2 linked regions of the Drosophila melanogaster genome follow. Changing the gene in region 2 together with the main gene of any one other region gives a genetic interaction. Each region holds a gene or a part of one and is shown on either strand. Other genes may lie near its edges.

Region 1 (7,129 bases), on a different chromosome or scaffold from region 2:
CTTTACAAACTACTCATTAATATTAAAGAATAATAACTAACTAAACTAATTTTGTTGACCCAGGTAAGTTCCCATATTTCGGACCTTATCAGCGGCCTCGACCATACGCACTTTACACGCACTTCTGCCCCATTCACTCGGAAATCTTTAGTTCGCTTTGCCAATCAAAATCTAGTCTATTTTTCTTTTACTCGCTTTGATACTATTCTAGTTTAGTGATTGCCGACAAAGTCATTAACGATAAGGCCCGGATCTTATTAAAATCTGTTGAGCTTAAGTGGATCTTTCAATATCAAGCCTCTGCTTATCACGCAAACAACCAAAAAAAATTTCTGACTAATCGCCGAAACATAGGAATCGTATGAAGATTTTCTAAAACCGGTCAGCTCAGCCCGAAATTTAAGAATTTCTTATCAATAGGGTCAGTTTTAAGCGCTTTGCTTGCATATTATTTAATGCCTTCTGCGAATTTTGTTTTGGTGAAAAACTTTCTATGAAGTCGAACATTCGATGACAAAACCATTATAATTTTACGTAACATTATGCAGAGCAAGGATATTTGTGTGCCTTTCTGCTTTTGTTTGGTTTCACTTTCTTAAAATCCACGGTAGTTCAAATTTACCACCCGGTGAGCTCTGAGCGTCCTTGGCCTACCTACAAAACCAAAAATACCGATTTTCAACATAAATTTAACATAGCATGTCCTTGCCATAAAAATCTACATAAAACCATTTAAAAGTCAATCCGCAAAAGTCACAGAAAACGTCTATACAAGCAAGAAAATTTCAACGATGCAGCTCTCTTACAATTTTTTATTATATTTCCTTTCTACCTGAATCCGTTTTTTACTAGTTCCTTTTTACGATTTCTTTTTTAGACGTGTGCCAATAATTAGTTGTCCATTAAACTGAACTTCCACGTCTTTGAGACTTTGCTCAACAGGCTACAAGGAAGACAAAAAACTCACTCAGTATAGCTGGTAAAAAACCGTCGACCTTCTTTCTTACTTTCTGCACTCCTTAAGCCGATGTTTTGTTTACTTCCTGTTTACTCGTACAGCGCACGCTTGAAATTCAACCCCGTCCGTGACATCTCTTTTCATGAATTTTGGCTCTTTTGCTCTCGCTGTTTCATTTTCGCCCTGTTCTCCATTGGCGTTCATCCCCCTTAGACACATTAGTTATTTTCTATAGCTCAAATGTAAAAAGGGGAAATGACAAAGGCACATCTGAGTGAGTTTTTGTTGTGCGTCCCTTACTAACTCTAAAAACTTCTACGTGATCTTTATGTGGTGTAATATTCCTGCAAGTGCAGTTTTTATGAAGGCTCTAAAAAACACAAGCGGAAGTGGTCATAAGCATTAAAAAATGTCCTTTAACGGTCAACACATAGTTCTGATTTTTTATGTTTTATTACTGACTAGAAACGTAAAGGTCATAAAACCCTCTACTCAGCGAAGATAATTCGCATCGACAACCTATGTTAAAAAACCACATCGTCCATATTTGACTCTAACTGACTATATATCTTTTGCATTGAAAGGAACCTCTAGCTGTCTCATTCGCACCAATTTGCATATGAAAAATTAGCACTTTTAGGTATAAAAAGGAATCGATGAAATCAACTCACTCAACTCAGCGAAGTACCCAGTTTTTACTTTACCTGCTCAGGCTTGGGGATCGTTTTTCGCTTTCGCCGTGATGATTTCCCTTCCTGTCTGCACCCTTATTTGCGTGCGTGTGAGCGGGAGAGCCAATTGAGTCCCGGCGTGTGTGCGTACGAGGGTGAGTGAGAATCTTTCGCCGAGACAGAGCGTACTTATAGTTAGCTCACGCAGCGAATTTGTATCAGTCGTGATTTGGCTCTGTCAGCGAAAGGAACAACCATTTGTTGTGCCACACACAACCGCGAGTAATATAATCGAATCAAATTTCAACTACCTCATTTTGCTAAATCGGTAAACTTTTATAAAAGACAATTTTTGTGAAATCTCTCTACCTCAAAGTACAAAAGTGTGTACAAAAATTATTCATATCCCTGAAAGTGCACAAATTGCTCAAATGAAATTTTGTTGTCTAAAAAACTGAAGCTCCAAAACCACGAAGGCGAATATTATAGGTGTTTTCTGTGTGCGGGAAAACATTGCGCGAGCACAAAATTAGGAGCACAAGAAGAATTTGTTGATGTCCATATCAATGCTTCAAGACGCACAAACGCGAAGTAAGTATTAGACCAAATTAAAATATTCCCCAAGTTTGTAAACTATCTAGAAGTTCTAGAGTCCCCGATCACTTTCTCATTATTAAACAGTCCGATGTCTTTAGGATAGAAAATACAAATGTAATGTAATTGCACACATACCGATTAGTTAGAATTTGTTTACATGTTTGGACAGGAACCGGCACTTAACTCGTTATCGACCAAAACAAAAACTAGTTAGACGAAAATAGAGAGCTGCGAAAACACTAAGAGTTCTCTCCGTACGAAACTTTCTCTCACACATGTATCATATGTAAAATTTTTTTCTCTTTTAAGCCGTTGCTCTTAAGACATTTCCAAATGAAAACATACTAACTTATGATTTTTTTTTTAGCCTTAGCTGCTGCATTAGCTGGCATAAAACAAGAGGACGTTCATCTAGACCGTTCCATGTCGCTATCGCCCCCCATGTCGGCCAACACATCAGCTACAAGCGCCGCTGCGATTTATCCAGCTATGGGTCTCCAACAGGCGGCCGCTGCCTCAGCTTTTGGAATGCTCTCACCTACCCAACTTCTGGCTGCAAACCGTCAAGCTGCCGCATTCATGGCCCAACTGCCCATGAGCACATTGGCCAACACTCTCTTTCCACACAATCCGGCGGCTTTGTTTGGGGCTTGGGCTGCCCAACAGTCGCTCCCGCCCCAGGGTACGCATTTACATTCGCCGCCAGCCAGCCCGCACTCGCCGCTGTCCACTCCTTTAGGTAGTGGCAAGCACCCATTAAATTCCCCCAACAGCACTCCCCAGCACCATGAGCCAGCGAAGAAGGCTCGAAAGTTATCGGTTAAGAAGGAGTTTCAGACCGAGATCAGCATGAGTGTAAACGATATGTACCATACATCGGGAGGCCCAATATCTCCGCCTTCCAGTGGCAGCTCTCCTAATTCAACGCACGACGGAGCGGGTGGAAATGCTGGATGTGTCGGTGTCTCCAAGGATCCATCTCGCGACAAAAGCTTCACCTGTAAAATCTGCTCACGCAGCTTTGGCTATAAGCACGTGCTTCAGAACCACGAACGCACCCACACCGGTGAGAAGCCTTTCGAATGTCCGGAGTGCCACAAGCGGTTTACTCGTGACCATCACTTAAAAACCCACATGCGTTTGCATACTGGAGAAAAACCATATCATTGCTCGCACTGCGATCGTCAATTCGTTCAGGTGGCCAATCTTAGACGACATTTGCGAGTCCACACTGGAGAGCGTCCCTATACTTGTGAAATCTGCGATGGCAAATTCAGTGACTCCAATCAGCTTAAGTCCCACATGCTGGTACACAACGGTGAAAAGCCGTTCGAGTGCGAACGGTGTCACATGAAGTTCCGACGGCGCCACCATCTGATGAATCACAAGTGTGGCATCCAGTCGCCGCCTACTCCCGCGCTTTCACCGGCCATGAGTGGAGATTACCCCGTGGCAATCTCCGCAATTGCTATCGAGGCATCCACGAATAGATTTGCGGCAATGTGTGCCACCTACGGAGGTTCGAATGAGTCGGTCGACATGGAAAAAGCGACACCGGAGGACGATGGTCCATTGGATTTGTCTGAAGATGGAGCCAGCTCTGTGGATGGCCATTGCAGCAACATCGCACGGCGCAAGGCACAGGACATTCGTCGGGTTTTCCGGCTGCCTCCACCGCAAATCCCTCACGTACCCAGTGATATGCCTGAGCAAACCGAGCCAGAGGATTTGAGCATGCACTCTCCTCGCTCTATCGGATCTCACGAGCAAACCGATGATATTGACTTGTATGATTTAGATGATGCCCCGGCTTCTTATATGGGCCATCAACAACATTAGGCCAGTACCACACCGAATTGTACATAGCCCTAATCAGTTTTCATTTGATGAAATTGACTGGCATTTATTAACACAAAATTGAAAATTTTGCTATTTCAAAGTGGAAAGTAAAAATTGTTGCAACAGGAATATAATGATAAGTACAAGTTTAAAAAAAAATAACATACAAAAAAGTCGAAATTGTACAAAGTAAGCCATACCGTATGCTTGTTACCGCCAAACCCCACCAAATCAAATCGAAAATGTCGTGCCATTCTTTACCTTAAATTTAAGTTATATTCTTAGGTTCGGAATCTTAAATTGTACATATTCAGCTTACACAGCTGCCAATTGTAAAGTAATCGGCGCTCTAAACATGCATTGTTGCAGAAAAATAAAAGACACGAAGTTTAATTAGGAAATCTATAACTAATTTTATTTAATTTATTAGCTTAATTTTTTATAATTTAATCAAATTCTTTAAGAAAACAATGCCAATAATCTTCAAATCAAAACTAACTTTAAGTTAAATAATAAAAAACATTTGTTTGATAATTGTTCTGTTTGCATTCTCTATTTAAAACTATTATTAAATATAAAAATTTAGTTAATCCTGTTTTTTTAAAGATCATTCTTAAATGTACACTTTTATATTTATACTTCAATAAATATTTGGTTTAATTGTTGCTGCTTCAAATATAAACAATAAAGAAAAAAGAAAATCAATGGTAACGTTAATATTTAACTGATTCCGCTTTTATTTCATATTGCCATAACTTAAACACAGTTTACGCATCCATTTTTGAAAATCTTTTTTTTTTTGTTGCAAACTATAAGAAACGTTAATATATATTCCAAAATAATAACCTAATGTAGATCAATGCGTATCGAAAGTATAGTAATCCCACTTATCTTAACACTCGTAACTATTAGTTTTAATTGTAAGACTTGAACCAAATACACAGGAAGAAATTGCTATAACCAAATACCTCCAATACCTCTGTATCGAAATTGTTGTGAGCTAAACAGTATATACATTCAACAATTTGGCAATCGTACAATTCAACTGAATTTATATACAAGACTTAGGAATATAAACTACGAAGCATAAACAATTTATATGTATTAAAATTTTGATGCATATTTAAATGGACCTAAAATAAGAAATTAATTTTAAATACTAGGCCAATTCAAATTACATATAAAAGTATATAAGGTTGTATATAACAATAACAATTTGAAATAAATTTAGTGCAATTTTTCGTTCTATTCATTGGTAAGCTTACTGCTTTTATTTTAAAACGTTGTAGTCATAATAATGTAACAAATTAATATGTAATTTTCTTTGTTCATTCAAATGTATGGTATACAAGTTCCTCAAGATTAAAAGAATACAAGAGCTATAAACTAAAATAGAGAGTGCATTTCTAATCATTTGAAAGTCAGCGCACGAAAGACATCATATTAATTGTGTACAGCAACATTCGACGTTTAACCCAATAGATATAATTAAATTTATAAAATCACAAGTCAATTTTTATGTAAATAAATTATAATCCTAATTGTGGCTAGGGATGTGCAATGTATCAAAAAATAAGAGTTATATGTGTTAATTAGGGGGTTGCTAATTTTAACCCTTTAAAGACATACACACATACACCTTGTAAAATACGTCAGTAAATATAAACTAGAAAATGTATTTTATGGTACATGATTGCATTAGATATGTCAGTCTAGCATATAGTAAACGAAACTGTTACTTTTTGTCATAACTATTTCTTCTCTAATTTAATGTTCTACCTATATCAATAATAAATACATATGTATACATCGGCAAATATGTATTTATTACATAAAAATCGAAATATATTATGTTAAATTTAAAAATTGCTGTCTGGGAAACCAAAAATAAATGAATATAAATATATATATGTATATATATGTATATACATATGAGATAATTGTGTAAAGCAAAAAATATTCGTAGCAACCCCGCTTTAGAAAATTACCCACAGCTTTCTTCGATTTTTCGTAAAAGAGAAAACGGGCAGCATTACATAAATTTTTAATTTATGCAAACGAAGCCCTTTCGCATTATTTTACATTTGCCACAAGACGCCCCACTAATGCCGTCGCCACGTTCCTCCCCACGTCACCCCCTTTATTCATCCATCCCTTCACTGGAATTTAAATTTACGTCTGCAGGCAACGGCAGCAGCTGAGCAAAAACGAATATAAAAATCGCGCCGCGCAGTCAGAAAATGTCACAGTGTTTTTTCCATTTAATCTCCAGAGAGAGAGAGCAAACATCTACAATGCTATGAAAGAAAGTCGACGCCACCCACTCATACCAATCGCCTCCCGTTCAGCCATGCCGCGGAACTGACGCCTTCTCTTCTTTGTGCCCCTTTCAACAGCCAAAAAAGGCTTCATCCTGGCAGCCCCCTCTATATAAAATTGTATGTACAAGTATTACATAAAGAACGTCTTATGTACTTACACACGTACATATATAAAACGGAGTAAAAGAGTGAGACGCAGGACAAATGCTCACGTTTTGTGATGCTTATTAGCATTTTAGGCTTTTTTCGCTTAGACTTCTGTAAACATACTCTATGAGCGTATACGTAAATAAAAACAATTCAATAATTAAAAAGTTAAACGTAATGTTAGCCAAATAAACCTTATGCTAAAACTGTTTACCCTAATTTTACCAATAAAAGCTTATTATAAATAAGTTAAAAGAAGAAACGGGAATAAACTGGTAATTGCCAGTTTTATAGTGTAGATAGGTACGTATATCTTATTCGAACCCCCAATCCTCACCCTCAAAAGCTTTTTTTTTAGCTGCCGAGTAAATAGTTTGGTGTTGGACATAGAAAACTTTCAAATGAGTTTACGATTTTTTTAAATATTTCGTGTTCCGCAAAGGAATGAAAAATAAAAGGCCTTGAAAATGAATTTAAGGCCTTCGCTGGCAAAGAACCGCCGACGCACCCAACTTACTGTCGTTATTATTTAAACTGAAAAATTATAATTTTTACCAGCAGACTTCTGCTCACAAATTCTAAGACTGGCGCTTATC
Region 2 (4,061 bases):
TCAAAGTCTTCACGAAGATCTGCATACCACCACGGAGACGAAGGACCAAGTGAAGGGTGGACTCCTTCTGAATGTTGTAATCGGACAGGGTGCGTCCGTCTTCCAGTTGCTTGCCGGCGAAGATCAGACGCTGCTGATCTGGGGGAATTCCTTCCTTGTCTTGGATCTTAGCCTTAACATTCTCAATGGTGTCCGAGGGCTCTACCTCGAGGGTGATGGTCTTTCCGGTCAAAGTCTTCACAAAGATCTGCATTTTGGATTATTCTGCGGGAAGAAAATAGAGATGTGGAAAATTAGTACGAAATCAGACGAGTTTCGTTGAAATTACAAAACTATTGAAACTAACTTTCTGGCTGGGGAATAAAAATGGGAAACTTATTTATCGACGCCAACTTTGTTGAGAAACCCCTATTAACCCTCTACGAATATTGGAACAAAGGAAAGCGAAGAAACAGGGAACAAAGGGTAGTTGAGAAACCTTTGTTCCGTTGCTTCGTCATCGTTTTCGTGTTGCGAGTGTGTGCATGTATGTATACACAGCTGAAATGCATGCATACACATTATTTTGTGTGTATATGGTGACGTCACAACTACAAGCAATAAGAAATTTTCAGACGTGGCTTTGTTTAAGCAACCTACTCTATTTCAGCTAAAAATAAGTGGATTTCGTTGGTAAAATACTTCAATTAACTAAACAACTAACTAATAACATGCACACAAATGCTCGAGTGCGTATGTGATTTCTCGAATTTTCAAATACGTCACTGCGAATTTCACAATTTGCCAATAAATCTTGGCGAAAATCAACACGTAAGTTTTATTTATAGATTTGTTTGCGTTTTGATGCCAATTCATTGGGAAAACGAGATGCGTGGCTGCCAATTTCTTATTTTGTAATTACGTAGAGCGTTGAATAAAAAAAAATGGCCGAACAAAGACCTTGAAATGCAGTTTTTCTTGAAATTACTCAACGTCTTGTTGCTCTTATTACTAATTGGTAACAGCGAGTTAAAAACTTACGTTTCTTGTGACTTTCGAGAATGTTCTTTTAATTGTACTTTAATCACCAACAATTAAGTATAAATTTTTCGCTGATTGCGCTTTACTTTCTGCTTGTACTTGCTGCTGCAAATGTCAATTGGTTTTGAAGGCGACCGTTCGCGAACGCTGTTTATATACCTTCGGTGTCCGTTGAAAATCACTAAAAAATACCGTAGTGTTCGTAACACTTTAGTACAGAGAAAAAAAATTGTGCCGAAATGTTTTTGATACGTACGAATACCTTGTATTAAAATTTTTTATGATTTCTATGTATCACTTTTTTTTTGTGTTTTTCGTTTAAACTCACCACAGTACAAAACAATAAAATATTTTTAAGACAATTTCAAATTGAGACCTTTCTCGTACTGACTTGACCGGCTGAATGAGGATTTCTACCTAGACGACCTACTTCTTACCATGACATTGAATGCAATGCCACCTTTGATCTAAACTTACAAAAGTCCAAGGCTTGTTAGGATTGGTGTTTTGGAATTTAAGACCCTTGTTAGTTTGCTTTTGAAATAGCACTGTCTTCTCTACCGGCTATAATTTTGAAACTCGCAGCTTGACTGGAAATTTAAAAAGTAATTCTGTGTAGGTAAAGGGTGTTTTAAAAGTGTGATGTGTTGAGCGTTGCGGCAACGACTGCTATTTATGTATATATTTTCAAAACTTATTGTTTTTGAAGTGTTTTAAATGGAGCTATCTGGCAACGCTGCGCATAATCTTACACAAGCTTTTCTTAATCCATTTTTAAGTAAAATTTGTTTATACTCTTTCGGCAAATAATTGTTAAATCGCTTTAAGTGGGCTTACATCTGGATAAGTAATGAAAACCTGGATAATATATTAATACATATAATCCACTGTGCTTTCCCCGTGTGTGGCCATATACCTAAAAAAGTTTATTTTCGCAGAGCCCCGCACGGTCACACTACGGTTCGGCGATTTTCGATTTTGGACAGTACTGATTGCAAGCGCACCGAAAGCAAAATGGAGCTGGAGATTTTGAACGCGAAGAACAGCAAGCCGTACGGCAAGGTGAAGGTGCCCTCCGGCGCCACGCCCATCGGCGATCTGCGCGCCCTAATTCACAAGACCCTGAAGCAGACCCCACACGCGAATCGCCAGTCGCTTCGTCTGGAACTGAAGGGCAAAAGCCTAAAGGATACGGACACATTGGAATCCCTGTCGCTGCGTTCCGGCGACAAGATCTATGTGAAGGATCTGGGTCCCCAGATTGGCTGGAAGACCGTTTTCCTGGCCGAGTACGCCGGCCCACTGATTGTATACTTGATTTTCTACTTCCGACCGGAGTTGGTGTACGGCAAAGCTGCCAGTCTGCCGATTTCCCTAACCACCCAGTGAGTTTGTAGAAAGTAGTCTCTGAAGTCTTTCGATTGTCGACCTAATCGACCTCGTCGCTTATGCAAACTAAAACGCAACGGCTCTGCATAATTATCCCCGAACTTTGGATGGTGGTTCACCCAGTAACCCGCTTTCTTTTCTCTTTTGCCCCAGCATTGCCGCCGGCTGCTATACGGTCCACTATGTGAAGCGTCTGCTGGAGACGATTTTCGTGCACCGCTTCTCGCACGCCACCATGCCGCTGAGGAATCTCTTCAAGAACTGCACATACTACTGGGGATTCACCGCCTATGTGTCCTACCACGTGAACCATCCGCAGTTCACCTCGCCCTGCATGTGCACCGTTTGGGGAGCTCTTGGGGCATTCGCTGTATGTATCCGCGGCCATGGTTTATGGATCTGGGTTATATGTTTTCGTAATCTACCGGTTTCCTTTGCTTTTGTTCGAAACATTTGTTTCTTAATACCAAAGGTGTAGCTTTTTGTTAAAATTGGTCAAGCAATTTGTAATGTTATATGTGCTATATATTTGGGATCCATTAATCATATTTGCAGACCCACAAACTAAGCCGCACACTTTTCACTTTCAGCTCTGCGAACTAGGAAACTTTTCGGTGCACATTGCCCTGCGCAACCTGCGTCCGCCGGGAACAAAAGTGCGCAAGATTCCGGTGGCCGATGGAAATCCCCTCACCAAGCTGTTCGAGTAAGTGGTCACTAAAAAAACCCACAGCTCAAGTTTATTAATTCGCGCTCTTCGAACTGCAGCTTGGTTTCTTGCCCCAACTACACCTATGAGATCGGTGCCTGGGTTTCATTCTCTGTGCTGACTTCTTGCCTGGCTGCCTATCTGTTCGCCTTTGCCGGAGCCTTCCAGATGACCATTTGGGCCTTGGCCAAGCATCGCAACTACAAGAAGGAGTTTAAGGACTACCCTCGCCAGCGCCGCTCCATCTTCCCCTTCGTCCTGTAGGTTGGATGTGGGTATCCCCATGACGCATTCGCTGTATTACCTATTCCACATTATACATTTACACATTTGGCTAGCGTTTAACAGGGTAGTTGTCTAGTGAACTTTGTGCTTTCGTTGATTTAAAGCAAATACAAATTGGAGAAGCGTACATTTGGCGTGTTTTCGTCGCTTTTTGGACTTTGATCGATCGTATGGGAAGTTCGACGAAGCGCGTGTAATCAGTAATAGTTTATTTGGGGCTTTCAAAGGTGTGCCAGGTGCTTACCTTGCTAAAAATAAGTGGCCACCTTGGGTCATTTATTTTTAACACTTTTATTTCAGAATGAAACACCTTTTTTATAGCTTTAGTAAACCAATAATGCATTTTTATTGAACAAACATTTTGAAACAACGCGCCATCTGGAGCTGCCACACTGCTGAACTCCGTACCGTTTGGCATCTCCAGCGAAGCTAAGTTGGCTGCGGCTGATGATTTTGTGTTTACATTTTGCCGGCAAATCGAAAATTGGATTTAGAGGCCCTAAATTAACCATGAATCTGTTCGAGGAGCTGGACACCTTGGACCCCTCCTTCAAACTAGAGCCTCCCCGCATCGAGACGCCCACGGCGCACAAGATTACCGTGTTGATATTGCTCAAACAGTATGTGATTGTAGGTGCACCCACTTATTTACTCCGTG

What was found. A genetic interaction does not mean that the proteins touch.
Region 1: of Sc2 (region 2) and Kr, changing one suppresses a phenotype caused by changing the other (phenotypic suppression), as found in Drosophila melanogaster (2 studies listed by BioGRID).

Annotation. Positions count from the first base shown.
Region 1 is NT_033778.4:25,224,769-25,231,897, forward strand, and holds Kr (kruppel), read left to right. Parts: upstream 1-1,842; 5' UTR 1,843-2,183; coding exon 2,184-2,220; intron 2,221-2,593; coding exon 2,594-4,065; 3' UTR 4,066-6,626; downstream 6,627-7,129. UniProt on the Drosophila melanogaster protein: Krueppel is a gap class segmentation protein. It is involved in the segmentation of the embryo and in the differentiation of the Malpighian tubules.
Region 2 is NT_037436.4:3,901,507-3,905,567, forward strand, and holds Sc2 (Sc2), read left to right. Parts: upstream 1-1,985; 5' UTR 1,986-2,034; coding exon 2,035-2,405; intron 2,406-2,562; coding exon 2,563-2,779; intron 2,780-2,999; coding exon 3,000-3,115; intron 3,116-3,177; coding exon 3,178-3,382; 3' UTR 3,383-3,529; downstream 3,530-4,061. Other genes in the region: Ubi-p63E (Ubiquitin-63E), read right to left, coding at 1-253; ida (imaginal discs arrested), read left to right, coding at 3,851-4,033.